Linked DNA regions of Oryctolagus cuniculus. The protein of the gene in region 5 binds, or shares a complex with, the protein of the main gene of each other region. Links are inferred from orthologs where the notes say so. Each region holds a gene or a part of one and is shown on either strand. Other genes may lie near its edges. The genes, in order: SF3B4, HTATSF1, DDX46, SF3A2, SF3A1, SF3B2 and SF3B5.

Region 1 (4,765 bases), on a different chromosome or scaffold from region 5:
GCTGCTACCTGAGGGGACGGCCCGAGGTCCAGGTGAGTAAAGAAGACAGGGACTGGGAGTGGGGGAAGGGGCTTGACAGCTGAACCAGATGAACAGAGCTGGGAAGGCAAGGGGCTGGGCGGGCTGGGAAATGAAGTACCGTTAGAGGAAACTGCTAGAAGCTTACATTAAATGGAATTTAGGGCAGAGTTGGGAGGGGAAAGACAATTAGGCACCACAAGTAGCGGGCAGATCTTAGAAGCAGGGGTCTAGAGCTGCAATGACGTTTCTCTCTGTCCCTATTGGCACCCTTCCCAGATGGGCCTCTCAGCTCTCACAGTCTCTGGCCTCCAGGATGAACTATCCCATCTTCAGGAACTATTAAGGAAGTGGACACCAAGAGCGTTTCCTGGTGATCACTCCAAGAAAAGAGATCCAAGTACCATTCTCTCTCATTCCTGCTGAAATTGCTGGCATTCTCAAAGAGCAGCGGGGGATCTGGGTTGAGGGAGAGTCCTAATACTGCAGTGTTTTGTATATGGCCTTGTTGCCTCAGCTTTCACACTCCAGCTCTTAAGCAAACTCACTTAGAATTGAGTTTGTTGTGGACGGTGGTGCTAATCTTTAATTCTTGTCCTTTTATTTGGTTCCTGAAGCTGTTGTTTCCTGGGAGTTGAAGAATTAAGAAACAAAACAATCCACAATGTAATTGCTTTATAGATAGCCAGCTATTTAAGTTGTGACACCAGAGACGCTGTTCACCAGTTCCAACAGTATGGCCTAAAGACCTCATTCTTGCCCCTTCTTGCTGCCTATTTTAATTCCAATTTCTGTTTCTTCCTGTATAGTTTCTTTTGGAAACAAAGTGGATATGAAACACACCCTCTCTTCCAACTGTACATTTTTGTAGTGGCATTTCTATTTAAGTTCATTAAAGCACAATATTTATACACATTGCTGGCACTGATTCTTGGATTTGAATGAAGGATCCTAGATAGCAAAGACTTGAGAAAAGGTCCCCATCGTATGATTTCTAAGAAAGGAATGGATTTGGACCACGTGAGGCTCAGAATTCTCATCTCCCATTTAGAGGCAGACAGCCAAGAGCATATTATGACGTTGCTGGGGCCAGAAAGTGCTCTTGGAGTTGCAGCTTTGGTCACACTCCATCCGGGGAGCCTCAGATTCTGCTCACACTCCGGCTCAGACATTACCTCGAGCCAGCCAGAGGCATGAGGCCAAAACTAAGACGCTTGTGGAGCAGAGTCCTTAGGTTGAGGGGTCCCTGAGAACCTTTTCCTTTGGGTGACAAAAGGATCAGCTGGCTACAAAATACACGAAGAGTTACTATTTTTAGCTTGAAAGAGAGGAACAGACAACTTCCATCCGCTGGTTCACTCCCCCAAATGCCTCTAACAGTCGGGGCCATGCCAGACGCAGACCGGGAGCGGGGAACAATCCAGGTCTCCGACATGGGTGGCAGGGACCAAACTTGGGGTTTCTGCTGCCTCCCAAGGTGTGCATTTACAGGAAGCTCGAGTCGGGGGAAACCGGGGCTCGGACCCTGTAATTCTTGACTGAGGATGCTGTGGCTTAACCGCTGTGCCAAACGCCCGCACCGGTGGGAGACGTCTGGCACTGCTTTCAGAGGGCCTGCGCTTTCCTGCCCCGCCCTCCTCGCTACGACCGCTCGCCCCGGAACCTCGGCGCAAATCCAAACGCCTCTGAACCGGGACGCCACAGCACCGTCAAGTCCCGCGGGATCCTAAGATGGCCGCAGCCGCTTCCGGCCCCGCCCCCGTCCGGGCCCCGCCCAGCGTCACGTAAGTCTTCGCCCCGGAAGTGGAAGTAGTGACCGCGGCCAGAGGGCGGAGCCGCTGCTTGGAGGCGGCGGGATTCTTTTCGCCATGGCTGCCGGGCCGATCTCCGAGCGGAACCAGGGTGACTGGGCGGGGAGACGAGTCCGGAATGGGCCCGGGAGGGTGGGAAGCCCCAGCTAAGGCCAGTAGCGTCTCCAAGGCGGGAAACTGGACCCCCGTCCCCCGGAGGGCGCGAGACTCGCTTCCGTGGCTGGTGCGGGCGGGTTGGCCGGGTGCAGGCTGAGGCCTGGACGTGTGATGTTTCGTGCAGTCCCCCTGCTGCCTTTTCTGAGTGGGACGGAATTTGCAGCAGACACTAAAGTGAACTTCAGAAGGGGCTCTAGGTCCTGCGAAGAGGACGATTTAGGGCTTATTTGGATGCTTTCCACCTCCCCCTTTTCGCTTCTGTCCCACATCCCCGCCTGCAGTTCCTCTAACTGGGTTCCATCTTTATGTCCCGGTCAGCTCCTTTCCTGTCATATTCGTCCCCATCCTAAATTCCTGCATCCTCCCTCCAGATGCTACTGTGTACGTGGGGGGCCTGGACGAGAAGGTTAGCGAACCTCTGCTGTGGGAGCTCTTCCTGCAGGCAGGACCGGTGGTCAACACTCACATGCCGAAGGACAGAGTCACTGGCCAGCACCAAGGTGAGTCCGCGCCAAGAGGCCACTTTATGTATCTGACAGCTGCTCCTGAGGGTCCCAGCGGTATTTATACTTGTTTCAGAATGAGCGACCAGAAGATTGCTTCCTCTTCTTTTCTCTTTTTTAAAGATTTATCTATTTACTTGGGAGGCAGAGTTACAGACAGAGAGAGGGAGAGACAGAGAGAGGCCTTCCATCCACTGATTCACTCCCCAAATGGCCGCACTGGCCGGAGCTGGGCCAGTCTGAAGCCAGGAGCTTCTTCAGGTCTCCCACCCTGGTGCAGAGACCCAGAGACTTGGGCCATCTTCTCCTGCTTTCCCAGGCCATCAGCAGGGAGCTGGATCAGAAGTAGGGTAGCTGGGACTTGAGCTGGCGCCCATATGGGATGCTGGTGCTGCAGGCAGATGCCCAACCCACTGTGCCTCAGCACCGGCCCCAGATTGCTTTCTCTTAATCCTCAGTTCACAGTTTGTTTCTAAAATCATTTTCTTGTTCTTTGTGATTGGAGGGTGGGTGAGTTTTACCCAGTTTCGGGTATCTTCGCTCTAGTTGCTAATCTCCTCTCTGCCTGCTTAGGCTATGGCTTTGTGGAATTCTTGAGTGAAGAAGATGCTGACTATGCCATTAAGATCATGAACATGATCAAACTCTATGGGAAGCCAATACGAGTGAACAAGGCATCAGCTCACAACAAAAACCTGGATGTCGGGGCCAACATTTTCATCGGGAACCTGGACCCGGAGATTGACGAGAAGCTGCTTTACGATACTTTTAGCGCCTTTGGGGTCATCTTACAAACCCCCAAGATCATGCGGGACCCTGACACAGGCAACTCCAAAGGTTATGCCTTTATTAATTTTGCTTCATTTGATGCCTCGGATGCAGCAATTGAGGCCATGAATGGGCAGTACCTCTGTAACCGCCCCATCACCGTGTCTTATGCCTTCAAGAAGGACTCCAAGGGTGAGCGCCATGGCTCCGCAGCTGAACGACTTCTGGCAGCCCAGAACCCACTCTCCCAGGCTGATCGCCCACATCAGCTGTTTGCAGATGCACCCCCTCCACCCTCTGCTCCCAACCCTGTGGTATCATCACTGGGGTCTGGGCTTCCTCCACCAGGTAAAGCTTTTGGTTCGCAAATACGTTTGTCTTGGGGCTGCAGTGAGGAGAACAAAGAACCTGGAAAGGGAAGATCTCCTGAGTCAGTGGGTGATGAGAAGGGAGTTAGGAGGTGGTGGGTGGGAGGGGTGTGAAGAACTCTGTCGGGCTTCTCCAGGGAGGTAGGATTATTTGAGTAGTGCAACATGGCTTGTGACCTTAGAGCACTGGGAGGAGGGGGCAAGAACTCACCCTGCATAGACAGGTCAAACTGGGACAGGTTCTTTAAAGGCATTCTTTGCCCACCGCCATTAATCCTTCTTCTGATTTCTATATAGGCATGCCTCCTCCTGGCTCTTTCCCACCCCCAGTGCCGCCTCCTGGAGCCCTCCCACCTGGAATACCTCCAGCCATGCCCCCCCCACCAATGCCTCCTGGGGCTGGAGGACATGGCCCTCCATCAGCAGGCACCCCGGGGGCTGGACATCCTGGTCATGGACACTCACATCCTCACCCCTTCCCACCAGGTGGCATGCCCCATCCAGGTAGGTGTTCTTGGCTGGGAAAGGGAGGGATGTGCGTGAACGAACAAAATGCTCTCTTTAGTTTACTACTTACCACCTGTCCTGTTGTGTAAGTCTTTCTGCAGAGTAGCCTATACTTGCTGTTTGTTTGTTCCCTGTTGTTTCCCTTCTCTCTGACTCAACCCCAGAGCAGTGGTCTAGGGGATACTTCGACTTCTTAGATGGTTTGCCCTCTGCTGTATTTGAAACTAGCTGTGTACTCCTGTTTGAAATTCTTGTCTGTTTTTTTCATCTGTTTTTTGGATTCTCCACCTGACACCTCAGTTTCAGTCAATTTGATAAACTGATTTTTCTCTGGGTCTAGATTAAGTATACACTGATGTCTCCTAGTCTGTATCTCTAGTTCATGATTATTAACAATCTAAATCCATAATCCTGTTGCTCAGTGGACAGATCCACTTTTGTACCTCTCCCCTTCAGACCTTTCTCTTTTTAAAAAAATACGTGTAGGGGCCAGCGCTGTGGCACAGCAGGTTAACACCCTGGCCTGAAGCTCCGGCATCCCATATAGGTGCTGGTTCTAGTCCCGGCTGCTCCTCTTCCAATACAGCTCTCTGCTATGGCCTGGGAAAGCAGTGGAAGATGGCCCAAGTCCTTG
Region 2 (4,720 bases), on a different chromosome or scaffold from region 5:
TTTTTGACTAGTACGTAATATTTGTACATTTTGAAATGTGTTATTTATTTTTATCTACTTGGAAAACAGAGAGAGATATCTTCCATCTGTTGTTTCATTCTTGAAATGTCCACAAACAAGGTTGGGCTGGGTCAGGCCAAAAACAGGAGTCCAGAATTCCTCCTAGTGTCCCACATGGGTAGCAGGGGCCCAAGGACTTGATCCGTCATCTGCTCCCCTCCAGAATACAGATACAGGAAGCTGAATCAGAAGCTGAGGAGCCACAACTTAAACTGACACTCTGATATGGGGTGCCGGGTTCCCAGTGGCAGCTTAACCTGCTGCACCACAATACCGATCCCTACTTAAACATTTTCATGGGCTATAGTAAAATTTTTCAATATACAAATAGAGCATAAACTAATCAAATCAGGTAATTATGAATCTGCCATTATTTAAATAAAAAAATCTTGCCATTTGTTCAAAGCTATTATAAATCTCCAAAAAGTAACTCTATGTATACATTCACACTTTTAAGTTTTTACACTCATATTCTGCAAGCTAGAACTACTTGCCTGACTCGGATTTTCTTTTTTCTCCCTTCTTTCTGGGATCAGTGGGTTCAGGAGTTTTTCTTTGTGGAGGTTCCTCAGCAATCCTAGTATTGACATCTTGTATGTTTGCCGTAGAACTAGATGCGCCATCATTAGAGAAGCCATAATTGGCCTGATATGTAGCAATGAAATCTTCAGTGATCTAAACAAGAAATTTAGTTCATGCACGTGTGTGCATACACATACAAACACATGCACAGAAATTCAGTTATTTCCACCCATAAACTTCAAACTGTGTCATATTACAGACTATTTGGCTATATAACTTACCATCGAAGACGCTGCGTGAATAATAATTGTAGTTGTAGTGATTAAAGTGTAAATCCAAGAATGGTCACCTGATACAAATACTTAAATTATCAAGACAAAAGTCTGTGGTACTAATAAAGCACTTTAAGTGATGTTGGTCCCTTTTCTAGTTGATGCATTTATAAATTACTACCTCTCCACAGTCTACTGACTAAGGCTACACATACATATAACAAAGGAAATACCAGGTAACAATACGACAGGATAACAACCTACAGTCAACTAATAAGCTAACCACAAAATCCACTTTTTTTACTGTATAGAAGCACACATATATTTCCACTTAATTATTCAATATGTGAATTCAAAGAGCACATAGAATGGAAGTGTGATGTGGCATACAAAGAATGAGACTCATAATTACAAAGCTAAATGATCATTTGAAATCTATCACTAATGAAATCACCATTTAGAATCAGAATCAATTCAGGGCAAATCCAACTAGTTTTGGGGGGAAAATGGACTATTATATAATGTTAGAAAAGTGCTTATAGCATCACACCAATTCAATCAACATTCAGTACACACATGAATGGGGAAAATTTAAAACTCAAAGTTTGAAGAGGTAAGGGCCTCAATAACACAAAAATGTAGAACGATAAATTAATCCACTACCAGACTACTGTTAAAAGTACTCAGAAGGCTGAAGAAAGCCAATTTGCCTCAAGCTGACACTACCTGTACTTTTGTAAAATAGCAAATTTTAAAAAGTTGGAGAACTTTCAATATATACAAATATAAAATGGGAAAGAAAAGTAGAAATGAAGACTTTTTCACAGATCAGTCTAATCACACAATGGAGACACGCTGTGTTTTGTTGGTTTGCATGTCTTGGTGTGCTATTAGTAGTCTTTCTGGCCTCCACAGGAGACTCAGAATAACAGAGTGCTTCTACAGCAAAGTTTACAGAACCAAGTTTCACTAGTTATGTTACTTCCAAGCAGAAATAAAATATCTAACAATTTCTCAGTACTCCAAACTAACATGCACACATCTTTTCCAACCATACTCTGCGCATCCCTCATTGTATTCTTGTGGATGTAAAGTTCAAACATAAATGCCTAAGGACAAACGCAGCAGGCAGAGAAAGCAAGGAGCAAACAAAGTTCATTCAGCACAAGTATATAAACAGCAACTTTTTGTAAACGAAGACATATGCTAAACGTGAATTCCTACGATAAGTGAGGTAAGCGAGGGCGGCTATCTGAGATGATCAGCTACAAAATTTTTTGTGTGTTTTTCCTCTTTGCAATAAAAAAGTCATCAATAGAATAGCCAACTGTGACCTTCACAGACAAAATAAAGCACGGAAAAGGCATTTAATACCCCATTCGAAAGATTTACGTTCCTTTACACATCAACTCTGCAAAAGACACAACAAAAACAAGCGTCACCATCCAGGGGGGTGAGGACCACAGACCTGACTGAGTGAGCACAGCAAATGTAAAAGTGCTCTGTGAAGCTGGCCAGGCGGCCCGCTCTGCAGTGGCGCCAGTGCTACTCGCTTACCTTGGGGAACCAAGCCTTCTTGTCTAGGTCCCACTCGTACGGGGTGTCAGCCGCCTGCTGCCCGAAAGAATCGGGTTCTCCGCCGGGATCGTTCTGGGTGTCACCCTCCTTGGTGTCTCCGTACAATTCTTGCATTCGCAACTGCTCATCAAACTCGTCGTTCCCACCCAAGTTGTTGCCGCTCATGTTTCCTACCTAGCCCAGAAGCAGGGTTCAGACGAGCGAAGAGGCCGAAATGACGCCAGAGAGGGGATCTGAGAAGGAGGTCGGCCGTGCTCCGCTCCCGCCCCGCGGCCCCCCGGCCCGCCTCCCCACGGCGCCCCAGCAATCCCCGGGAAGTCGGGACCGCTCGCCGCCGCGCCGCCCCTCGCTCCGCGCGGCTGTCCGCCCGCCCACTGCGCGCGCGCGCGCCGATCCTCTCAGCTCGGCTCCGCCACCGCCCACCTGGCTTGAACCACCGGGCCTCGGCGGCGCCGCCGCTCGGTCCAGGGCGCGGCGAGAGCGCGCACGCGCGCCGCCGCCACCGCCGCTCGGGTCTGAGACGACTGCAATTCTCGCGGCAGCGTCAGGAAATGACTTCAAACGGAGCCCTCCTCAGGCTGACGCAGTCGCCATTGTGGGCGCGGTGTGACGTCCTGTGTCGCGCCGACACGCCTACCATGACGTCAAAAGGTGCCGACGAAGGCCTGAGGCGCAGGGTCCGGAGGGGCGGGGCGCCAAGGAATGCGCGGCTGTCGTGCGTTGATGACCACCAGGCCCTTCCTGTGGACGAGATGAGGTCCTTTAGGGCAATGCAGTCCCTTGGGGGCCTTAGGCCCCGTGGGTCTTCGGAAGGTTCGGCCTGGCTGACCTAGTCCGGGCGGTACCCCAAAGGAAGGTGTGGGAATACTGCCTTGCAGTGGGCGCCATCTTGGGGGAGTGGGTGGGACCGGCAGGACAGGTTTCTCTCGCTTCCTTAAAACGCAAAAACGTCGCGTCTCCGTCGCCCAAAAACTCTTCCCTGCTTCGGTGTCATGTCTTTTACTTATTTGTTTCTGATTGCCCTGGGATAGGCTCCGGCTCTGGCTCATCTTGGTAGCCTAATCACCTGCTGCAGGATTTGCTGTCTAGTGTGCAGTGACTGAATGAACGAACAAACCAAGGATAAGCACAAGGATCAACCTTTGCCTAATCTCAGACTCCTGTTTGATCGTCTCATGCCTTCCTCTGGACGAAGAGTTGGACTCTGCCTGCCTCGTCCTCCAGGATTCAGAAGTGCTCAAGCCCCAAACTTGAAACGTAAACATAAACATCCCAGTGTAAACACAACCTGTGCTGGCCCAGTAACTTTGTCTTTCCTTTAGAAAGATACAGCACGCTTTTGTTCTAAACAGAACTTTTTTTTTTCCCTGCAAATTACTTGCTTTGCTGAAAACGAAGAAGTCCATATTTGTCACTTGGTATAACAGTTATTGAACTAGTAAGTGTCAGGCAATGTACTAGGCTCTGGTGACTCAACAGTCAACAAGATGGGCACAGCTCGTGGGAAACAGGCTCAGGAAGGCTAATAAATCTGACAGGAGAGGTATGGGGTGCCAGAGACAGTGGTTCTCAAACTTTCTGATCACAGGATCGCTTTACTCCCCCAAAATACTGAAGAGTCCAAAGAGTTTTTGTTTATATGGTTTATATTTACCATTATTTCCAAAACAGTCATTTTAATGAGTATTTATTAGTCCATTTAAAAATGACAGCCCGTTAGGTGTTCATTGAGGATGGAGAAAAGCTCCTCAGAAAAAATTATTTCTACTATTCCAGTGACATTTGCTTCGAAACTTAGCAGCTGAGTATGAATTCTAGAAAATCCTGGCTCCTCACATGCCAACTGTGTGAATCCATGTTTCAACCATAACCATAGTTTTTGAAATAGTAGTTTGGGTTTGTATTTGTTTATATTTTTGTTTTAAGTACATTTCTGTTTCATTACATTCTTGTTCTGGTCAGAACTATTGGAGAACTGAACTTGCAGGCATTTTCATAATATAGATAATGTGAGTTTTATTGGGCTCATTTAAACATTGCTAAGTATATCTTCTTGGATCCAAAAATAGTATACAGTTGTTTTCAGCAATGTGTTATTGGGCTCCCGTTTCATTCCTGAGTGAGTCCACAGCATAGGTGATAATGCTACACCAGCCTACTGCAAATGACACTCCTTAAGTGCTTGCTGTATCCACAGCCCCTTCCTGATCAGGTGACCAAAAAGGTTCCTTATGCATGCATAAGTTCCATATCACCCAACCACCCTAGTCCAAAGACTGCCCAGAGGC
Region 3 (4,063 bases), on a different chromosome or scaffold from region 5:
TTTTTAAAAATGTAGAAATGCGATATAATGGAAGCCGACTGTGCTTGCTAGTTTAATCGTTGGCTTACTGCTGTTCTAGCCACTATCGGAAGCGATCGGCATCCCGGGGACGCTCTGGAAGTCGGTCTAGAAGTCGCTCACCTTCAGACAAAAGGAGTAAGAGAGATGACAGACGGTCTAGAAGCAGAGATAGAGATCGAAGGAGGGAGCGGTCTCGGAGCAGGGATAAAAGAAGATCCCGGTCCAGGGACAGGAAGCGTCTGAGGTAAGCGCTGGCGGAGGTGGGGCTTTCTCCGCGGCACTGGGTGTCTCACCACTGTCTCACCGCTGTCTCTGGACGGCACTCGAGTGGCTTGTTTGGCTGCTTCTTGGCAGCCCTGCCTTGCTGGATCAGACTGCAAGATCTGCCTGCAAAGACTCAAGCAGCGTTTTCAGTTTGGCTACTTCAGTTGATATTCCCTGTAACTGAAGGAGAACTTCTGAAGCTCCCAGAGATGTAAGGAATGAAGGAAGAGGGAAAAAGTGCTCTACTCGTGGGGCCTCTGCTCCGGGTCTGCCCGAGAGCTGAGTGTGCGCCCAGCGACTGCCACGGCAGACGGGAGGAGTAGCCAGGGCCTTCTGCAGACCCTCTGCTGTGCTCAGTCGTCTAGCCAGCTGTCTGCAGTCTAACCCAAAACACTCTTGCTTTCAGTTCATGTGTACGTGCTCATGTGCTCTTTTTGCACAGTCGAGTGACCATAAACTTTTCTGGAGGTGGAAAAGAGTCTTTAAGTAAAAATAATTCCCTCCCCCTGCCAGGTACACCGAAATTCTAGTACATTTTCCCATTAAAGTAGTAAAGTAATATAAGGTTGTGCGGTGTACTGTTCACAGAAACAGTTTGCCTTTTTCAGGCGTTGGAAGCAGAGTGCCTTGATACCACAGGCACTCACCCGGGACAGTGTGGGCCTTGCACATGCAGTCTCCTACTCTGTGGCCCCAGCAACAGTTTTACATAGTTCTGTCAAGTACTTGAAGTACTTGTTAGGTAAACTTGGCCATCTAACATCAGTCTTAGACTTTTTGGTCTGAAAGTAGAATCACAAGATTTTAGAGCAACAGTGATTTTAAAATTACCTAGCAAAACCCCCATATTTTCCATCAGGAAACTGGGACTCGGGAGGCTGAAGGTGTGTCCTGTGTTGTCACTGCCACTGTGAGTGGCGGCCTAGACACTCCTGCCTCCTAATCCTCACGTCAGTTATCTGTTCACAGCCTTGGTCACCCAGTTTTCTTACTTGGGTTTGGGTTGTCTTTGAAAATTAGGTTTCTGCTCTAAGATGATGGATGTTAAGTAGCTGTCACTACAGATTTGTTAGGTTTCTCATCACATGTCACTATGAAATTGGTGTACTCATTTTTTTTATTGAGTAGTTGTAAGGGTGGGTTTACTTGTTTCTTCTGATAGTTTATTAATGCCTCTGCTTTTAATAATGGTAGCAGTTTAGACGCTTCTTTTAGCATGGACGAAATCATAATCTGAAATAACATCTCCATTGGACTGTAGAGTGACAAGTGTGTCCTCCTTTTAGACGTTCCAGAAGTAGAGAGAGAGACAGAAGCCGAGAACGAAGAAGATCTCGCAGCAGAGACAGGAGACGTTCAAGGAGTAGAAGCCGGGGCCGACGGTCCCGATCCTCCAGTCCTGGCAATAAAAGCAAGAAGACTGAGAATCGGTAACATTACCACTCACGGTGTCTGCCGTGCAGGGGCAGCTGGCTCCCTTCCCCTGCTTCGTTTTTCTTTCTTTTTTTTTTTTTTTCCCCACCTTTAAATTTATTCTTATAAGCAATTACTGACTGGGCTTCACCAAGATTTGGTGGCATAATTTAATTTAAGTAGGTTATAAAGCTTGTAATTCAGTTGCAAAGTACTAGTCTCAGGTTTGTGGGTTTTTTTGTTTTTTTTGTTTGTTTGTTTGTTTGTTTGTTTTTTTGACAGGCAGAGTTAGAGAGAAAGGTCTTCCTTTTTCCGTTGGTTCACCCCTCAAGTGGCCACTATGGCTGGCACGCTGTGGCCGGCACACTGTGCCGATCTGAAGCCAGGAGCTGGGTGAACCCACGTGGGAGACCCAGAAGAAGCTCCTGGCTCCTGGCTTTGGAGTTCTGGCCAACTGGGGAGTGAACTATTGGTGGAAGACCTCTCTCTCTCTGCCTCTCTCCTCTCTCTGTGTAACTCTGACATTCAAATAAATAAATAAATCTTAAAAAAAAAAAGATCATCCCAAATTACTTTCCTGAGAGTTTGTGCTAATTATACGCCCACCATCAGTATTTGAGACTTCTTCTTTATTTTCAGCAAGTGGGTAAATGTGTGCTGCTTGTGGTTATAATTTGCGTTTCCCTAATTAGTAGTGAGAGTGATTGTTTTTAATGTTTTTCTTGTCATTTGGACTTTGTCATTTCTTAAGTACATGTTCAGCGAATCTTTCCTCATTTTCCTTTTGAGTTGTTTGTTTTCTTTTAAAATTGATAGCAATAGGGCCGGTGTTGTGGTGCAGTGGGTAAGACTGTGAAAGCTGGCATTGGTTAAGTCCTGGTTGGTCCACTTCCATTCCAGCTCCTTGGCTGTGGGAGACATTAGCGCAGTGAACCAGTAGATGAAAGATTCTCTCTCTGTAAATCTGCCTTTCAAAACCAGATAAATAAGTAATTGATCAATTGAGGGAACAGGTGCTGGACTTAGCACCTGAGACACCAGCAGGACTCACTAGTGTACCTGAGTTCTGCTGCCAGTCTGGCTCCTGCCTCTGGCTTCCTGCCAGTCAGACCCTGGGACGCGGTTGTGATGTGTACGAGACCCGCATTGCTTCCGCTCTGGCCGTAGCAGGCATGTGGGAAGTGAACCAGCACAGGAGCATGCTCGCTCGCCCTCCCTCTCATCTCTCTTCCTTTTCTGCCACCCCCCCCCCCTTTTTTTTTTTAAGGATTTACTTCTGTATTTGAGAGGTAGAGTTACAGAAAGAAAGGTCTTCCATCTGCAAGTTCACTTCCCAAATGACCACATTGGCCAGAGGTGGGCCAATCCCAAGTCAGGAGCCAGGAGCTTCTTCCAGGTCTCCCATAGCGGTGCAGGGGTCTAAGACCTTGGCCATCCTCTACTGCTTTCCCAGGCCTTTAGCAGAGAGCTGGATCAGAAGTGGAGCAGCTAGGACTTGAACTGGCATTCGTATGGGATGTTAGCATTGCAAGTGGCAGTCTGACCCACTGTGCCACAGTGCTGCACCCTTCTGCTCCCTCTCTTGATTTCTCTTTCTCTGCCTTTCAGATAAATAAAATTTGGGAGGCAGGTATTGGATGGAGCTATTAAGATTCCTCTTGTGGCACTCACATCCCATTTCACAGTACGATGGATCAAGTCCCACCTCCACTCCTGGTTCTAGCTTCCTGCTTTTGTGCATACAGGGATGCAGTAGGCGATAGCTCAGATAGTTAGAGTCCCTGTCACCCACTTGAGAGTCCTGGATTGAATTCCAGGCTCTTGGCTTTGACCTGGTCCAGTCCCAGCTGTTAAAGGCAATTGGGGAATTAAATAGCTGATAGTACATTTATGTCTTTTTGTCTCTCTAATACAGTCTGTTAGCCTTTTAATTTCTGAAATCCATGGATGGTTTTTTTCTTTCTTTTTTTTAAGATTTATTTATTTATTATTTTACTTGAAAGTCAGAGTTGCACAGAGAGAGGAGAGGCAGAGAGAAAGGGGGCAAACCCCTCCTTGCCTTCCATCTGCTGGTTCCCGCCCCAAATGGCTGCAACAGTTGAAGTTGTGCCAATCCGAAGCCAGGAGCCAGGAGCTTCTTCCAGGCCTCCCACGAGGGTGCTGGGGCCCAAGGACTTGGGTCATGTTCCACTGCTTTCCCAGACCATAGCAGAGAGCTGGATCAGAAGTGGAGCAGCTGGGTCTCGAACTGGCGCCTATATGGGTTGCCGGCACTGCAGACTGCAGTCTTATTCGCTACACCACAGCGCCAGACCCAAGTAAAATTTAAATTTAAACATTTTAAACTTAAATTTTAAAGTTTTTG
Region 4 (4,526 bases), on a different chromosome or scaffold from region 5:
GACCCTGGGGCTCGCCCCGGCCCGTTCACAGCACGGTCTAGCTCCGCTCTACATTCAGCCGGTCCAGGACGGCCGGTGCCGCGGGGAGGGGCCTCGCAGGGCGGGGACCCCCAGAGGGCAGCCCCCGCCTCCGCCAGGAACCCCTCCCACGCAGGCTCGGCCGGGCCGGGGTCAGTCCAGCGCGTCCAGCCCGGGCCCGGGCCCGGTGCCCGCCGGCCGCCCGTCGCTGGGCGGGCTGCTGATCTGGAAGCGGGCCTCCGCGGAGATCCCGAACTGCTCCAGGGGGTCCTAGGGCGGCGGGCGGGGAGACGCGGTGACCCGGGGCCCGGGGCCGGGAGCCCCGCCCGCCCGGCCGCCCCGCACGCGCCCCCCGCACCTTGCCCGTCATCTTCTGGATCTCATTCCGGTAGAAGATGAGGCTCCTCCGCATGACCTCGTAGCTGCGGGAGAGGCCGTGCCCGCGGGGTCAGGCCGCCGCCCCCGCCGCGCCCGCCGCGCCCGCCGCCCCCGTCGCGCCCGCCGCGCCCGCCGCGCCCGCCGCCCCCGCCGCCCCCGCCGCCCCGGCCCCACCTGGCCCTGCGCAGCGCCTCCGTCCACTGCCGGCACTGCTCCTCGCTGCCGCACTCGAACACGTACTTCCTCTCCGGGTCCTCCAGGAAGCCTGCGGGAGCGGCCGCTGTGGGTGCCCGCGCCCGCCCCGCGCCCGCGCCGCCCCGCCCGGCCCGCGCACTCACCGATGGAGAAGCTCCGCGCCTCCTCCTGGGCGACCCGGCAGCGCTCCAGCAAGAGGGCTCCGACGGGCTGCGGGCACACGCGCCGTGAGCGGGGCCGCCCCGCGCCCGCGCGCCCCGCGCCGCGCCCCGCCCCCGCGCCCCGCGCCCCGCGCCCACCTCGGCCTCGTCCGTGCGGAAGTAGAAGAGGAAGTTCACCACCAGCTTCACCAGGCGCCGCTTCAGCACTGCGGGCACACAGCGGGCTCAGGGCGGCCGCGCGCCCCCGCGCCCCCGCGCCCCCGCCCGCGCCCGCGCCCGCTCACCGCTGCCCTTCTTGGGGCCCCGCATGCCCAGCTCAGCCGCCATCTCGGCCGGCTGCCGGGACAGCGCCTGCAGCTCCTTCTCGTTGTAGCGCATGGCGCCGGCGCTGCCCGGGACCGGGAACGCGCGCTGCTAGCTCTGAGCCCTCTCGGCCGCCGTCCCCGCTCGCGCCAGAAAGATCCCAGGTCGGAGCCCCGGAAGCGCCATTGCGCCTGCGCGCCACGGGCGAGTCTTGCGCGCTGCGACCGCGGCGTGCTGGGGCGTGGGTACACGCCGGGCAGCCGCGACACAGCCGCGGAATAAAGTGGGTCTGAGGCGCAAGCAGGATCGAAGGACCGCCGAGCGCGGGCGGACGGGGCGTTACCGGTTCCCGCCCCCGCCCCCAAGAGCCGACGCGGGTGCGCGCGCGGAGCGCGTTGTGCGCAGGCGCGCCTCGGGCACGCGCATGCGCACACTCGAGGGCCCGTCCTCCCTCCGGAAGTGCTGCGAGCGCCCGCGCCGCGCGTGCGCACTGCGACGTCGTGGCGGCGGCTCCTGAGGCGGACGGCGGAGGCCTGCGACGCGGGGCGCGACCCACACGAAGTAGGCGCGGGGGCCATCGGGGCCCCGGGGCGCCCAGGGTGGGCTGGGGGCGCGGGAGGGAGGGGCCGGGGCGGGCGGCGGGCCCCACGGCGACCCCGGCCCTCCGGAACTCCGCGGCGGGCGTCGCGGGGGTCGCGGGGGTCTCGCGTCCGTCCGGGGCGGGCTCCGGGGTCCGGGGAGCGGCCGCGGGCCTTCGGCTGCTCGGCGGGGCGGGCCCGGGCCGCGGGGCCGCGCGCGGGGGTGCGTGCCGGCGTTCCCGCCAAAAGCCGCCGGGACCCCCGAGGCCGCCCCCGCTGGCGCCTTTGTCGTCGTGGGGGTCGGTCGCGGGCGCCCGGGGGGCTGCGGGGCGTCCCGGGTGCGGACGGCGATGCGGCTGCGTCTTAGATTTCCCTCCCGCAAGCCTGCGTGCCCGGGGCCGCGTCTTCCCCTCGGTCCGCTGTCCGACTGTCCCTTCGCGTGGTTCCCCCTCCCCCAGCCCTGAGGTCCTGGGTTCGCGTCCCGATGGAGGGGCTGTGGGGCCGCCAGGGCTCGTGCGTGGACCGCGGGCGGGCCCGGGTCGCCCTGGGGTCAGCCGGGGGCGGCTCGTGCGTGGACCGCGGGCGGGCCCGGTAGCGCCCTGGGGTCAGCCGGGCCGCCCGCGCCGTGCCCGGAAGTCGGGGTCGCAGGGGCGGGGTCTCCTCCCGCCGGTCCAGTCCCCGGAGGCCGGGCCGGGCCGGGCCGGGTCAGAGCAGGTGCGGGGCCCGGGCCGGCAGCCAGGACTCGGGCCAGTGCCCGAATGGGGCCCGAGCGGCCCCTGCCGTCCACGGGGAGGCCCAGCCCTGGCTTAGGGGCATTGGGGAGTGGACGGCGGGGGGGCGCCAGGCGGTCGTCCGCGCCCCCGTTCTCCCCGACGCCCGCGGCTGGGCCCGGCGGCTGACACGGGAGAGCCCGCGTGGGTGCGCCCGGGAGGGGCTGGGGGCTGCCTCCTGGGGTCTCCGGCCCCCGCCGCGTCCTGAGGGCCCCCCCCGGTCTGGGCTCCGCAGGCTTCTCCGGCGCTGAGGTCCGCAGGCCGGCACCATGGACTTCCAGCACCGCCCCGGCGGCAAGACCGGGAGTGGGGGCGTGGCCTCCTCCTCCGAGAGCAACCGGGACCGCCGCGAGCGCCTGCGGCAGCTGGCCCTGGAGACCATCGACATCAACAAGGTAGGGCCGCCCGCCCGCCCCCCCGCGGGGCGCCCCCGACGCCCCCGACGCGCCCGACGCCCCCGACGCCCCTGACGCCCCTGACGCCCCGCGCCGCTCTCCCCCAGGACCCCTACTTCATGAAGAACCACCTGGGCTCCTACGAGTGCAAGCTGTGCCTGACCCTGCACAACAACGAGGTACTGGCCGGCCTGGTACCCTGCCCCCGCCCCTGCCTGCCCCCGCCCCGCCCACCGGCCGGCCTGAACCCCTCGCCCCCGCCCCGCCCACCGGCCGGCCTGGCCCCCCCCCTCCACCGGCCGGCCTGATCCCCCCCCTTCCCGCCCTGTCCACTGGCCGGCCTGGTCCCCCGCTCCTGCCTGCCACCGGCCTGGCCCCGCCCCCAGCCGGCCTGATCCCCCCGCCCCCGGCCTGACCCCCGCCTGCCGCTGCCCCACCCCCCGGCCGGCTTGGTCCCCCCCTCCCGCCCTGTCCACTGTTCGGCCTGGTCCTCCCCCACCCCGCCTGCCGCTACCCCGCCCACCGGCCTGGCCCCGCCCCCGGCCTCATGTCCCGCCTCCTCCACGCAGGGCAGCTACCTCGCACACACTCAAGGGAAGAAGCATCAGACCAACTTGTGAGTGCCCCCCGCGCCCCCCGGCTGTGACACGGGGGAGGGCCCCTTGACCCGCCCCCCAGCCGCAGGGCCCCGCCCCTCACCCCCCCCGCGGGAGCCCAAGGCCGGGCAGGGGGGCTCCTGCACCTGCGCCCGTGGCCTTGGCCTGGTGTGGAGGACCACAGCGCCCGTCTGCCCCGCCCCAGGGCCCGGCGCGCAGCCAAGGAGGCCAAGGAGGCGCCCGCCCAGCCCGCGCCCGAGAAGGTCAAGGTGGAGGTGAAGAAGTTCGTGAAGATCGGACGCCCTGGCTACAAAGGTGAGGGGGCGGGGCCGCCCGACACCAGCCCTGGGCGGGGGGGGGGGGGCAGGCGGGGACAGGCGAGGCCCTGGGCAGGGAGGGGCAGGCGGGGACAGGCGAGGCCGTGGGGCTGTGGGCAGGCGGGGTCCTGGGCACGGAGGGGCAGGCGGGGCTGTGGCGTGCAGCCCTGGGCCGGCCCTCTGAGCTGGGACCTGGGCCTCACCTGCCGCCCTGGGCGGGACGTGGGGCTGCGGGGGGGCCCCTCACCGGCCCTGGTGTTGCAGTGACCAAGCAGCGGGACACGGAGATGGGCCAGCAGAGCCTGCTCTTCCAGGTGGGCGGGGCCGCGGGGTCGGGGGGGGGGCCGCGGGGGCGGGGCCGGGTGGGGGCTGCGGGGGCGGGGGGCAGTGGGGGCTGGGGGCCCCTGACACTGCCCGCCCGCAGATCGACTACCCCGAGATCGCCGAGGGCATCACCCCCCGGCACCGCTTCATGTCGGCCTACGAGCAGAGGATCGAGCCCCCGGACCGGCGCTGGCAGTACCTGCTGATGGCCGCCGAGCCCTACGAGACCATCGCCTTCAAGGTAGGGCCCCCCGCCTCCCTCGGACCCACGGCGCCCCCTCCCCGCCCCGCCCTGGGTCTCGGCACCAGCCCCGCGCCCCCTCCCCACCCCAGGACCCACGGCCGCCCCCCCCCCCCAGGTGCCCAGCAGGGAGATCGACAAGGCCGAGGGCAAGTTCTGGACCCACTGGAACAGGGAGACCAAGCAGGTGAGCCCCGCCCCCACCCGGCCCCCTCCCCCACCCGGGGCAGCCCCGCTGAGCCCACCCCCC
Region 5 (3,129 bases):
AAAAAACCAGTATGGAATAAATGAAATTTTATAATTCCTACAGCAGTACATATCTTGGCACAATTAAAAATTTACTAAATAAATATACACGGTGCAGAGTTAAGCTGCTGCTTGTGACACCAGCATCGCATATATCAGAGCACCAGTTAAAGTCTCGGCCACTCTGCTTCCAATCCAGCTTCCTGCTAATGAGCCTGGGAAGGCACCAGATGATGACTCAAATTGGGCCCCTGCCAACCATGTGGAAGAACTGGATGGAGTTCCTAGCTCCTGGCTTCAGTCTGGCCCAGACATGGCTGTTGTGGCCATTTTGGGGAGTGAACCAGCCAATGAAAGATTTCTTTCTCTCCCTGTTGCCCTGACTTCTGAATAAATAAATACATTTTAAAGAAATCTCTCCATATCCCTGTGCTCTCACCAGGCAAGGCACTTACCCAGGGTCACAGAATCAGTCAGGTGATGGGTGACCCTGGCCTGCATGTGTCACTGCTCCCCATGGACCAAGAGCCACATCACCATCCTTGTTCTGTGGGCCATGGCATGCCGAAGGCATCCTGTGTGAATCGGTTAAGCACACTGGGCTACACCTTTGTAGGACTCCAGTGTTTTCCAAGGACAACACAATAAAACACTTCTGAAAAGCATAAGGAGATTCTATTACACGAAAGATATGATGGTGGTAAGTTATAAACCCTGGGAATCCTTAGAGCAGAGAGGAGCCACGTGGCGCTGTGCCAAGTTCCCACTGCCTGGAGTGTGCACAGGGCACGCGGGCCAAGAGACAAGTCTCATTACACCGATTTCACAAGAAAGATCCAAGAAGTTTATTAGACCACAGCAAAATACGAAACTCATTAACGACCATAAAAGCCATACTCAATCAGTCAAGTGCCTCTTGGCACAATGCACCTATCCTGTACGCCATCCCTGGATCTCAGCTCCAACTAACGAGTGCCTTCAAATCAAGACCCTAACACAATGGGATCCCAGGGAGTAGCTTCAAAAGTCTTGCTACTATTACTAACATGGGAAGGAGTCCGGGGAATGAAATGCGGCAGGACATTCTGAATGTCCAGAGAGGGCCTGTGTGTCTAGGACTGGAGTGGGGGACAGGAGACACAAAACAGCAGGGACCTGACAGCAGGTTTCTCTCTTCTACTTCTTCCTGCCGCCTCTCTCCTTGAGGGCCAGGTGGATGATGGCGCCATTGGCCATGTTGTAGTAAGCCAGCGAGTTGGAATCCTTGATGAAGATGCCCTGGAAAGAGACAGTGCGCCTTGGCGTGAGGTCCCTGGCCTTGGACACACAACGTGGCCTGTCCATCTGCATGGCACACCTAGCAAACATGAGGGCTTGAGGGAAGGCGGGGGACAAGGGACTGAAGGGCTCTGGCTCTACCCAAAATGCTTTTTCCTTCCTTCCAATCAACTGATGGACGCTCTTCCCCTTTGTCAATGTTTGGCTCAAAGCTCAACTTCCCAAGAAACTGCCCGACCAAGGCCATGGAGACCTTTGGAGATCACCTGAGCAACAGCCTCGCTTTGCAGGAGGAAACTGAAGCCCAAGGCGGGATTTGGTCAAGTCCAAAAGGGTGAACACAGCACGACTATGTGACCCACCAGGAAGCAGGCAAGGCTGGACTACACCACCTGAGGTCGCCCTGGCTGGGATGGCCTCAGCTCTGGGTCCATGACCTAGCACAGCACTCCCGAGGCACACCCCCAGATCCTGTCCCCAGTGCTCGGGGCAGAGGGTTCCCTGGACTCCACACAAGATGGACTGCCGGAGCCTCACACTGGCACGCTCTCCAGCTCTGGCACCCCCGCCAGCACCTTCACTTCTGGGACAACTCAGAGGATCACTGCCCATCTCCCTGTGCATGGGGGACTTAGCTTCTGGCACAGCAGTGTTGGGACCTAAGGGAAGGGACTGGCACGCTCTGACGCACCTCGTACTGCAGTTTCTGTTTCCCTGCAGGCATGCCTGTAGCTTCGTGAATCTTCACTTTGATGACAGAGACCTGTGGGGCCAAGGAGAGGTCATTCGTGCCCTTGCAAAGGCCAGCAGAAGGAAGCTGTCCCTTGAACCCTTGGTCCCCATGCACGTGATACCGCTGGTGGCAGCAACCCCTACCTGGTCTGTGAGAGGCAGGGTGAAGACCAGCACCTGCCCATTCAGCTTCCATTCCGTCTTATCCTGCATGTTGGGCACCTGGACTTTGATGGACACTGGACCCTGCAAAACAGAAGGGGATCATTATGCCTGGGGACCCCTGAGCCAATCAGGAACTATGTTCTGCCATCCTGAGGGCACCTGGCTCTGGCCTGATTCTCTACTGACACACTTGTCATATTGTACAAGTCACACTCCCATATCAAGATGTGCTTTCTGTTTTCAAGTCCTCCTGCGAGTCTAGAGCTGAAATGAAGAGGTTGGGTAAAAATGCTCTGTGACACCCAAGAAGCACAAGTGTAAAAAAAAGTGGCCTGTAAAATCCAGACCTGATTCCCAACTCGGCTCATAAGGTCTCAGCCTGCCTGTACAACAGAGCTGATCAGAGCGACAGCAGAGCCCTGCGGTGAGCCCCACACGGAAAAGTGTCCCAAGGTGAGCTCCACCCTTGCACTTCGCTAAGTGCCCAAAACAGGACTCTCTTAAGAACGAAAACAGAAGATTTGGTCAAACGCACTGAGCCGTCAGGGGCTGCGGCTGTTTCTCGCCTCCTCACTGGAGCCCAGCAGCTTCCCTGGGGTGCAGCAGCACCACGGTTCCCACCTTCCTTTACTCTAGCACCCCAGCAAGGGCGAGGACTGCAGGAAAGGCCACACTGAGTTCATGAACCACACCCGGGCTTGCTTCAGGTGTCCAGGGCCCTCTCACCGAGCTGTGCCCCTGTGCAGTGGCTCTCCCTATGGCCTCCAGAGATGCCACACCAGGGGACCACCAACACTGTCACACTCAGCTCCTCTAGGTGTTAACCCACATTTACTGGGCGTCCCATCAGTCAAAAGCTTCCAGTGGCTAACCCAGACCCTGGAGGCCACCACCACGGGAGTGGAATGAGGTCAGCCGGGCACCATGTGACTAGGGTGAGACTGCAGCCCCTCCCCTAGACACCCCAGGCCACAG
Region 6 (4,063 bases), on a different chromosome or scaffold from region 5:
TGGCGGCAGCCTTTCACTCAGGAGGTGGGCGTTGGAGGGCAAGGGCCCTCACTGGGTGTCTCCGGCAGATGGAGGACCCCTCTGTGGGCCCCAAGATCCCCCAGGCTCTGGAGAAGATCCTGCAACTGAAGGAGAGCCGGCAGGAGGAGATGAGCGCGCAGCAGGGTGGGTGCCGGGCCTTGCGGGGCGCAGCAGGGTGGGTGCCGGGCCTGGCGGGGCGCAGCAGGGTGGGTGTCGGGCCTGGCGCGGCGCAGTGGCGGGGCCTGGCCAGCGCGACCCGTCCTCCCTCCCTGCCCCTGGGGGGCTTGGTGCACGCCTGCACTTGGTAAAGAGGTGACTGAGCAGGGCCCTGATCGCCACCCTCCCCCCTTGCAGAGGAAGAGGAGATGGAAACAGACACTCGCTCGTCCCTGGGCCATTCGGCCTCCGAGACCGAGGAGGATGCAGTGTCCACATCCAAGAAGGAGGTACGGGGCGGAGCTGGCCTAGAAGCCGGGTGTGGGCACCGGAGCAGCCCCCGGCGCGGTGTCCAGTGAGGGCTGGCCACTGTTGTGGGTTCTGTCCTGAGCCTCTCCCGGGTCTTGTTCCATCGCCTTGCGTCTCTTGGGTTCCTCGTGTCTGCTCACTGTGCTTCACGGCTAGGGGAGCTGTGCCTCGAGGGTACAGGAGCGTCGCAGGGGCACGCAGCCTGAGCGTGGAGGGCTCTGGAGTCACTCTCCCGGCCTCTGCACCACGTGCCTGGGGTCGCCCCCTGGGAGAAGCCAGCCTGAGCTGCTGGGGGAACGGTGGGGGTCAGGGCTTGGGGGTCAGACATGGTGATTGGTTTTCTCACCTGGTGGCTTTTCCTCACCGTGATAGAAAAACCGGAAGCGCCGGAACCGGAAGAAGAAGAAAAAGCCGCAGCGCGTGCGGGGGGCGCCCTCGGAGAGCTCTGGGGAGCGCGAGAAGGACTCAGGCCGGCCGCGCGGCTCGGACGCCCCGGCCGCTGACGTGGAGATCGAGTACGTGACCGAAGAGCCCGAGATTTATGAGCCCAACTTCATCTTCTTCAAGAGGATTTTTGAGGCTTTCAAGGTAGCGGGAGCGGCGCAGCCGGAGGGGCTGGGCGGGTGAGACCGGGCTGGGAGGTCTGGCCGGGGCGTGGGCCCCGCACTGGCCGTTGGCGTCCTCTGCCCCCCCCAGCTCACCGATGACGTGAAGAAGGAGAAGGAGAAGGAGCCCGAGAAGCTGGACAAGCTGGAGAACGCCGCCGCCCCCAAGAAGAAGGGCTTCGAGGAGGAGCACAAGGACAGCGACGACGACAGCAGCGACGACGAGCAGGTCGGGGCCTGGCCGGAGACGGCGCGCGGGGCCCATGGGCTGACCTCTGCCCGGGCTCTGGGAGCGCAAGTCTTGGGGTGGGCTGGGCCCTTAGATTCCGTCCGAGGGCCTTGCTCACGCGTGATGACTGTTCCGTGGCAGGAGAAGAAGCCAGAAGCGCCCAAGCTGTCCAAGAAGAAGCTGCGTCGCATGAATCGCTTCACCGTGGCTGAGCTCAAGCAGGTGAGGCCGGGAGAGCGTGGGAGGAGGCCCAGGAGGGCGCGCGGGAGGCCCGGAGACGTGGGTGTGGGTCCTCCACGGAGGAGGAGGGAGAGCCTCGGACCCGAGAGCTGCGCCCCCAGAGGGCCTCGTGTGCGTTTTGCAGCTGGTGGCCCGGCCCGACGTCGTGGAGATGCACGATGTGACGGCGCAGGACCCGAAGCTCCTGGTGCACCTGAAGGCCACTCGGAACTCGGTGCCGGTGCCGCGACACTGGTGCTTCAAGCGCAAGTACCTGCAAGGCAAGCGCGGCATCGAGAAGCCCCCCTTTGAGCTGCCGGACTTCATCAAGCGCACAGGCATCCAGGAGATGCGGGAGGCCCTGCAGGAGAAGGTGAGGGCCTTCTCCAGAACTGGAATCCAGACCCCGCCCGCGGCCGAGGGTCCCTCCTCCAGCATAGGAGTCAGCACTGCACAGCGCGGGCGGGCGGCGGAGGGGAGGGAACGGGCCAGGCAGCTCCTCGCTTCCTCCCCGGGTCCTCACCAGCGTGCGCTTTGCGGCCGCACAGTCCTAGTGCGAGGGGGTGACTTCTGGCAGGGACAGCCAGCACGTGGCTGTGGTGTGGAGGCCCGTGCAGTGCTCGGCGGGCCTGCCTCCTGATGAGCTCCGTTCCGCTTCTCTCGAGCCAAGTCGTGAGCCTGGGTTCTTGGTCACGGGGCCCAGAGCTCAGGCGGCCTCGTGTGCAGCTTACCCCATGGTGGGGTTGAATAGAGAGGGTTTGCTGACTTTCAGATGAGACAGAGGGCGTCCTCTGCTTTCTCATAGGAAGAACAGAAAACCATGAAGTCAAAGATGCGGGAGAAGGTTCGGCCCAAGATGGGCAAGATTGACATTGACTACCAGAAGCTGCACGACGCCTTCTTCAAGTGGCAGACGAAGCCGAAGCTGACCATCCATGGGGACCTGTACTATGAGGTTGGGGGGCTGGTGGCAGGGCTGGGCCTTGGAGTCATGACTGCGTAACCTTCCGGTAGAAGGTGTTAGCCCTGGGTCGGTGGTGCCACAGTCTTAGTCTCAGATGAGACGGAATCTGAAAGTTATTTTTATGTATTTTTTACAGATTTATGTTACTTACTTGAAAGAGAGTTACAGAGATGGGGAGAAACAGAGAGAGGGATCACTCTTCTCTCTGCTGGTCCACTCTCCTAATGACCTCAACACCCAAGGCTGGGCCAGGCAAAGCCAGGAGCGAGGAGCTTCTGGGTCTCCCATGTGGGTGCAGGGGCCCAAGCACTTGGGCCATCTTCTTCTGTTTTTCCCAGGCCATTAGAGAGGGCTGGATTGGAAGTGGAGCAGTCGGGTCTCGACCTGGCGCCCATATGAAATGCTGGCACTGCAGGCGGTGGCCTTACCTGTTGTGCCGCAGCACCTGTCCCGTGACTTGCACTGCTATGGAATGCTGGCATCACAGACAGCAGCTTAACCCACTCTGCCACAAGCCTGGCCCACAGCCTAGCCCTGGACTTTGAACTTTTAAAATCAGGTCATTTGGTGGGAAAATGCAGACCATGTCTTTGGAGTGGTTATAGTTAGAGTGGTGTGTTGGCGTAGGGACAGAGGGGCCAAGTGGTGGGTGATTTTCAGGAATACTTAATGTCAGAAGTGTGAGAAAAGTTTTCTTCTTTTCTGGCCTTGAAGTAGCGATCCACAGTATGGGGGTTTTGAAGGCTTTTGGGCTCATCCTGTTTAAGGCCCTCAGATGGGTGAGGAAGGTGCAGGCTGGCCACGTTGTCACCGTGGTCAGGGAGGCCCTGAGCGTCTGGCCTTGTGCTTGTTTCTTGCCCTTGCTGGGGAGCGATGTGATGAGAGTCAGGGTGGGAGCGGGCAGCGGTCCGGCGGCCTGGGATTCTGTGTCTGACGTGGTTGGGGCTTCTCTGCTCTCCTGGCCTCTCCTGCCATGGAGCTCAGTGCGTGCGTGTGTCCCCGCAATAGCAGCCTTTGCTTGATTCCCAGGGGAAGGAGTTCGAGACGCGACTGAAGGAGAAGAAGCCTGGTGACCTGTCGGACGAGCTCAGGATTTCCCTGGGGATGCCTGTGGGACCAGTGGGTGTCGGTCGGCTGGGGGGCGGGGCGGGGCGGGGGCGGCAGAGCAGCGCAGGGTAGGCAGACGCTCCCCTGTTCTCTCATGCTGCAGAACGCCCACAAGGTCCCGCCCCCGTGGCTGATCGCCATGCAGCGGTACGGACCACCCCCATCGTACCCCAACCTGAAAATCCCCGGGCTGAACTCGCCCATCCCCGAGGTGAGTGTCGTCCCTTCTCGGTCTTGGCTGCCTCTGCTTGTCTGCTTGTCTCACGGAGGGGGTTTCTGTGTCCTTCTCCTCGTCTCCACTCTGGTTATAAAACAGAAAGGAAGTAACAGATTCTACTGGTTTAAAAAAGCGACACGCTCACGATAAAGTGTTCCCTCAGCATTAGCAGCCCAGAGGTGAGCCGAGCGGCAGGCTCGTCACCAGACGCGCCCAGGGCTTGTAGGACACGTGGT
Region 7 (3,073 bases), on a different chromosome or scaffold from region 5:
AGAACAACTTGCTTGCCAGCTTGTCATTTCTGAAGAACAGTCAGAAATTCCCAAGGGATGCGGTTTAAAATGAAAGAAAAAGGTAGAATAATAAAAAAAACCTCAAACCTGAAGGCACTATGGATCTGAAAATTTTTTTTCAGGTAAATCTGAGTTCTGAACACAAGGAGGCTTCACAAAGTTGATGGAAAAATGGAATTAGAAGTCGAACTTTCTAGGGGCTTTTAAAATTTCATTTATTTTGCCGGCGCCGCGGCTCACTAGGCTAATCCTCTGCCTAGCGGCACCGGCACACTGGGTTCTAGTCCCGGTCGGGGCGCCGGATTCTGTCCCGGTTGCCCCTCTTCCAAGCCAGCCCTCTGCTGTGGCCAGGGAGTGCAGTGGAGGATGGCCCAGGTGCTTGGGCCCTGCACCCCATGGGAGACCAGGAAAAGCACCTGGCTCCTGGCTCCTGCCATCGGATCAGTGCGGTGCGCCGGCCGCAGCGCACCGGCCGCGGCGGCCATTGGAGGGTGAACCAACGGCAAAGGAAGACCTTTCTCTCTGTCTCTCTCTCTCACTGTCCACTCTGCCTGTCAAAAATAAAAAAATTAAAAAAAATAATAAAATTTCATTTATTTTAAAGTTAGAAATACAGAGTCGGAGAAAGAGAATCTTCCATCTGCTGGTTCACTCCCCAGATGGCAGCAATGGCCAGGGCTGGGTTAGACTGAAACCTGGAGCTTCTTTCGGGTCTCCCACATGGGTGCCTGTGGCCCAAGCACTTGGGCTACCCTTCTCTGCTTTCCCAGGAGCATTAGCAAGAAGTTGGATCAGAAGTGCAGGGGCCAGGCCTCCAACCAGCTGCCCATATAGGATGCTGGCACTGCAGGCGGAGGCTTAACCTTCCAGGGGCTTTCTGAAGCTCCCCAAAGGGCATGCTGGGCGGATTTCAGTGCCTGGCAAGGCAGGCTGGTTCTGTGCCCTCCACCCACCCTCTCCTACTTGCACACGCACAGAACCTTTGGTTCCGAGTCCTCCCCAGCCTTCTCCCCTGGAACACAAACAGATCACACCAAGAGACTTAACAGATTCTAAACTTTATGAAAAAGGCAACGCGACAATCAACTAAGTCAAACACGAGCCTCCAAATCCCCTCACTCCAGTGCCGTCTTCCCCAACGCCCGCCAGCTCTCGGACCTCTTCACCCGCAGTTCTCAGGGAGCCCCGGCGGTCCTGGTGCTGCGTCCCGAGGGATCCACGTGAAGACAGCACCGGCGGGACACCTCGGCGAGCACTTCTGCACCCGGAAGGCCGGAGAAGCAAGGAGTCGCGGAAGAACCAGTCCACTGGAGACAGGAACGCGCGGGCAACGCCGGCGATCGGGAGGCTCGCTGGAGGAGGCGCCGTCTCAGTTTTCCTCGGGCTTGTCAGCGGGGGGGCCGCAAGGCTGCAGCATCTTCTCCATCAAGTTGAAGCGCACTCGCGCTTTGCTCTCATTCTCCGCGATGGCGAAGTAGTTGAGAAGGTCGAAGTGGCCCATGTAGGAGCAGTAGGAGTCGCGGTGCTGGTTCACCAGCCACTCCCACTTGGTGGTGTCGGCGTGGCCCGTGCCGATGTACTTGGACTGCAGGTGCTCCAGCTGGCTGTGGATGGTGTAGCGGTCTGTCATCTTGCCGCTTTCCCTTTCGCTCCGAAGTCAGAAGTCGCACGAGGGTTAGGAACCGGTCTCGGGTTTCCCGCCGGAGAAAGGCCAGCACACGGAACCGGCAGCCTCGCTCAGTCGCAGAGAAATTGCGTCACAGCGACGGAGTGGCGGAGGACGCGGAAGCGGAAGCACATTTTGAAGCCGTATTGGAGTTGCCCTAGCGACACTGAAACTGTCCCGCCCCTTTAACAGAGTCCCGCCCCCCGCCCTCGGAGAGCGTTGCATGATGGTCCACTTGGTGGTCCGTGGGTGGCCCTGTACTGACGTAGCGTCTTGCATGCTGGGATTTGTGGTCTCTTCCGAGACCGCGGTTTAAGAGCTGAATGGAGGGCAGAACCCCAGAGGCGGGGAGCATGCGTTGTCGGCCCGGTGCTAAGAGAAAGTGGGCCAGTGGGCCAGTGGCACAGGCAACCAAGAAAATAAACCCTTGGTGTAATTAGGCGCTGACGAGGCGGCACGGTAGCCCCTTCACAATCGGGTGGCTTACTGAGGTCGGCAGACGCGACCTCTGGTCCCACGCTCTAGCGGGGCCGCCGTTCCCGTTCGGTGACCCTGCACAGCCCCGGGGCCGAGTCGCTTGGGCGCCCCCGGCGCACACTCCTTCGGTCTCGCCTCTCGGGCTGGTGGCCCCCGGCGACTCCACGCCGACCCCCACGACCCCGGCCCGCACTCGGCCAGGTGCCGCGCGCGCCCGCGTCCCCTTCGGAGCCGTTAGCGCCCGCGGGAAAGGCTTTGTTCCCGCGGCGACGCGTCTGCCTTCGGTTGGCTCCTCCTTTGCATCTGATTTTCGCTTTATGTTTTACCTTTTGGTTTAAAATTCACGGCGGTAGAAATACTTGAGGAAAAAACAAACCCATACTTATCTTAGGATATCCTTTTTGGATATTCGTACAGCCTGATAGATTGTGTTCTCCAAAAAACAGTTGAGGGATAGAGAGACAACTACAGCCAAAGAGAGGAACGCTGCCCGGAGAGCAAGAACTTTAAAAAGCAGTTTTGTTTTGCTCTTTTCAGCTTGACAATTCATTCCTAAAGTGTGGAAAATTTATAAGGTATATCTTTGGCTTCATCCTCTAGGTGTATCAAACCTTGACATTTTGCCGTATTTGTCCTGATTTTGTTTTGATTTTTAAGAGATAAATTCTGCAAATAAACGTTCTCCGCGTTCCCTTCCCTCATCTCTTGGACACTGTCCTGGATTTAATGTCAATCATTCTGTTTTCCAATTGCTGAAAGTTTGTGTATCCATAAACAATAGCTGATAGGCATGGTTTAAACCTATGAGTAGCATATATAATGCTGTAAAAGTTGCTTTTACTCTTGTCAGTATCCTCATTGATATATGAAACTTTAATTCTTTTATACTGTTCAATATTAGCCACTGGA

The links.
Region 1: SF3A1 (region 5) and SF3B4 share a complex: the UniProt entries of both Homo sapiens proteins name them as parts of the 17S U2 SnRNP complex. The link is inferred for Oryctolagus cuniculus from reciprocal best matches to the Homo sapiens genes SF3A1 and SF3B4.
Region 2: SF3A1 (region 5) and HTATSF1 share a complex: the UniProt entries of both Homo sapiens proteins name them as parts of the 17S U2 SnRNP complex. The link is inferred for Oryctolagus cuniculus from reciprocal best matches to the Homo sapiens genes SF3A1 and HTATSF1.
Region 3: SF3A1 (region 5) and DDX46 share a complex: the UniProt entries of both Homo sapiens proteins name them as parts of the 17S U2 SnRNP complex. The link is inferred for Oryctolagus cuniculus from reciprocal best matches to the Homo sapiens genes SF3A1 and DDX46.
Region 4: SF3A1 (region 5) and SF3A2 share a complex: the UniProt entries of both Homo sapiens proteins name them as parts of the SF3A subcomplex of the 17S U2 SnRNP complex. The link is inferred for Oryctolagus cuniculus from reciprocal best matches to the Homo sapiens genes SF3A1 and SF3A2.
Region 6: SF3A1 (region 5) and SF3B2 share a complex: the UniProt entries of both Homo sapiens proteins name them as parts of the 17S U2 SnRNP complex. The link is inferred for Oryctolagus cuniculus from reciprocal best matches to the Homo sapiens genes SF3A1 and SF3B2.
Region 7: SF3A1 (region 5) and SF3B5 share a complex: the UniProt entries of both Homo sapiens proteins name them as parts of the 17S U2 SnRNP complex. The link is inferred for Oryctolagus cuniculus from reciprocal best matches to the Homo sapiens genes SF3A1 and SF3B5.

The regions. Positions count from the first base shown.
Region 1 is NC_091438.1:48,025,410-48,030,174, forward strand, and holds the start of SF3B4 (splicing factor 3B subunit 4), read left to right. Parts: upstream 1-1,797; 5' UTR 1,798-1,886; coding exon 1,887-1,920; intron 1,921-2,356; coding exon 2,357-2,485; intron 2,486-3,061; coding exon 3,062-3,604; intron 3,605-3,921; coding exon 3,922-4,128; intron 4,129-4,765. UniProt on the Homo sapiens protein: Component of the 17S U2 SnRNP complex of the spliceosome, a large ribonucleoprotein complex that removes introns from transcribed pre-mRNAs.
Region 2 is NC_091453.1:114,292,928-114,297,647, reverse strand, and holds the start of HTATSF1 (17S U2 SnRNP complex component HTATSF1), read right to left. Parts: upstream 2,990-4,720; 5' UTR 2,856-2,989; intron 2,607-2,855; 5' UTR 2,598-2,606; coding exon 2,412-2,597; intron 736-2,411; coding exon 555-735; intron 1-554. UniProt on the Homo sapiens protein: Component of the 17S U2 SnRNP complex of the spliceosome, a large ribonucleoprotein complex that removes introns from transcribed pre-mRNAs.
Region 3 is NC_091437.1:22,983,173-22,987,235, forward strand, and holds part of DDX46 (probable ATP-dependent RNA helicase DDX46), read left to right. Parts: intron 1-79; coding exon 80-265; intron 266-1,571; coding exon 1,572-1,715; intron 1,716-4,063. UniProt on the Homo sapiens protein: Component of the 17S U2 SnRNP complex of the spliceosome, a large ribonucleoprotein complex that removes introns from transcribed pre-mRNAs.
Region 4 is NC_091447.1:59,110,118-59,114,643, forward strand, and holds the start of SF3A2 (splicing factor 3A subunit 2), read left to right. Parts: upstream 1-1,460; 5' UTR 1,461-1,616; intron 1,617-2,240; exon of another isoform or gene 2,241-2,347; intron 2,348-2,638; 5' UTR 2,639-2,672; coding exon 2,673-2,798; intron 2,799-2,905; coding exon 2,906-2,977; intron 2,978-3,367; coding exon 3,368-3,414; intron 3,415-3,599; coding exon 3,600-3,709; intron 3,710-3,975; coding exon 3,976-4,025; intron 4,026-4,135; coding exon 4,136-4,276; intron 4,277-4,394; coding exon 4,395-4,463; intron 4,464-4,526. Other genes in the region: PLEKHJ1 (pleckstrin homology domain-containing family J member 1), read right to left, coding at 172-288, 377-440, 571-661, 735-801, 891-958, 1,037-1,130. UniProt on the Homo sapiens protein: Component of the 17S U2 SnRNP complex of the spliceosome, a large ribonucleoprotein complex that removes introns from transcribed pre-mRNAs.
Region 5 is NC_091452.1:23,643,211-23,646,339, forward strand, and holds the end of SF3A1 (splicing factor 3A subunit 1), read right to left. Parts: intron 2,236-3,129; coding exon 2,134-2,235; intron 2,021-2,133; coding exon 1,949-2,020; intron 1,258-1,948; coding exon 1,156-1,257; 3' UTR 801-1,155; downstream 1-800. UniProt on the Homo sapiens protein: Component of the 17S U2 SnRNP complex of the spliceosome, a large ribonucleoprotein complex that removes introns from transcribed pre-mRNAs.
Region 6 is NC_091432.1:5,759,296-5,763,358, reverse strand, and holds part of SF3B2 (splicing factor 3B subunit 2), read left to right. Parts: intron 1-68; coding exon 69-165; intron 166-375; coding exon 376-467; intron 468-858; coding exon 859-1,074; intron 1,075-1,182; coding exon 1,183-1,320; intron 1,321-1,461; coding exon 1,462-1,542; intron 1,543-1,684; coding exon 1,685-1,912; intron 1,913-2,344; coding exon 2,345-2,494; intron 2,495-3,532; coding exon 3,533-3,622; intron 3,623-3,713; coding exon 3,714-3,821; intron 3,822-4,063. UniProt on the Homo sapiens protein: Component of the 17S U2 SnRNP complex of the spliceosome, a large ribonucleoprotein complex that removes introns from transcribed pre-mRNAs.
Region 7 is NC_091436.1:24,439,653-24,442,725, reverse strand, and holds SF3B5 (splicing factor 3B subunit 5), read right to left. Parts: upstream 1,796-3,073; 5' UTR 1,652-1,795; coding exon 1,391-1,651; 3' UTR 1,064-1,390; downstream 1-1,063. UniProt on the Homo sapiens protein: Component of the 17S U2 SnRNP complex of the spliceosome, a large ribonucleoprotein complex that removes introns from transcribed pre-mRNAs.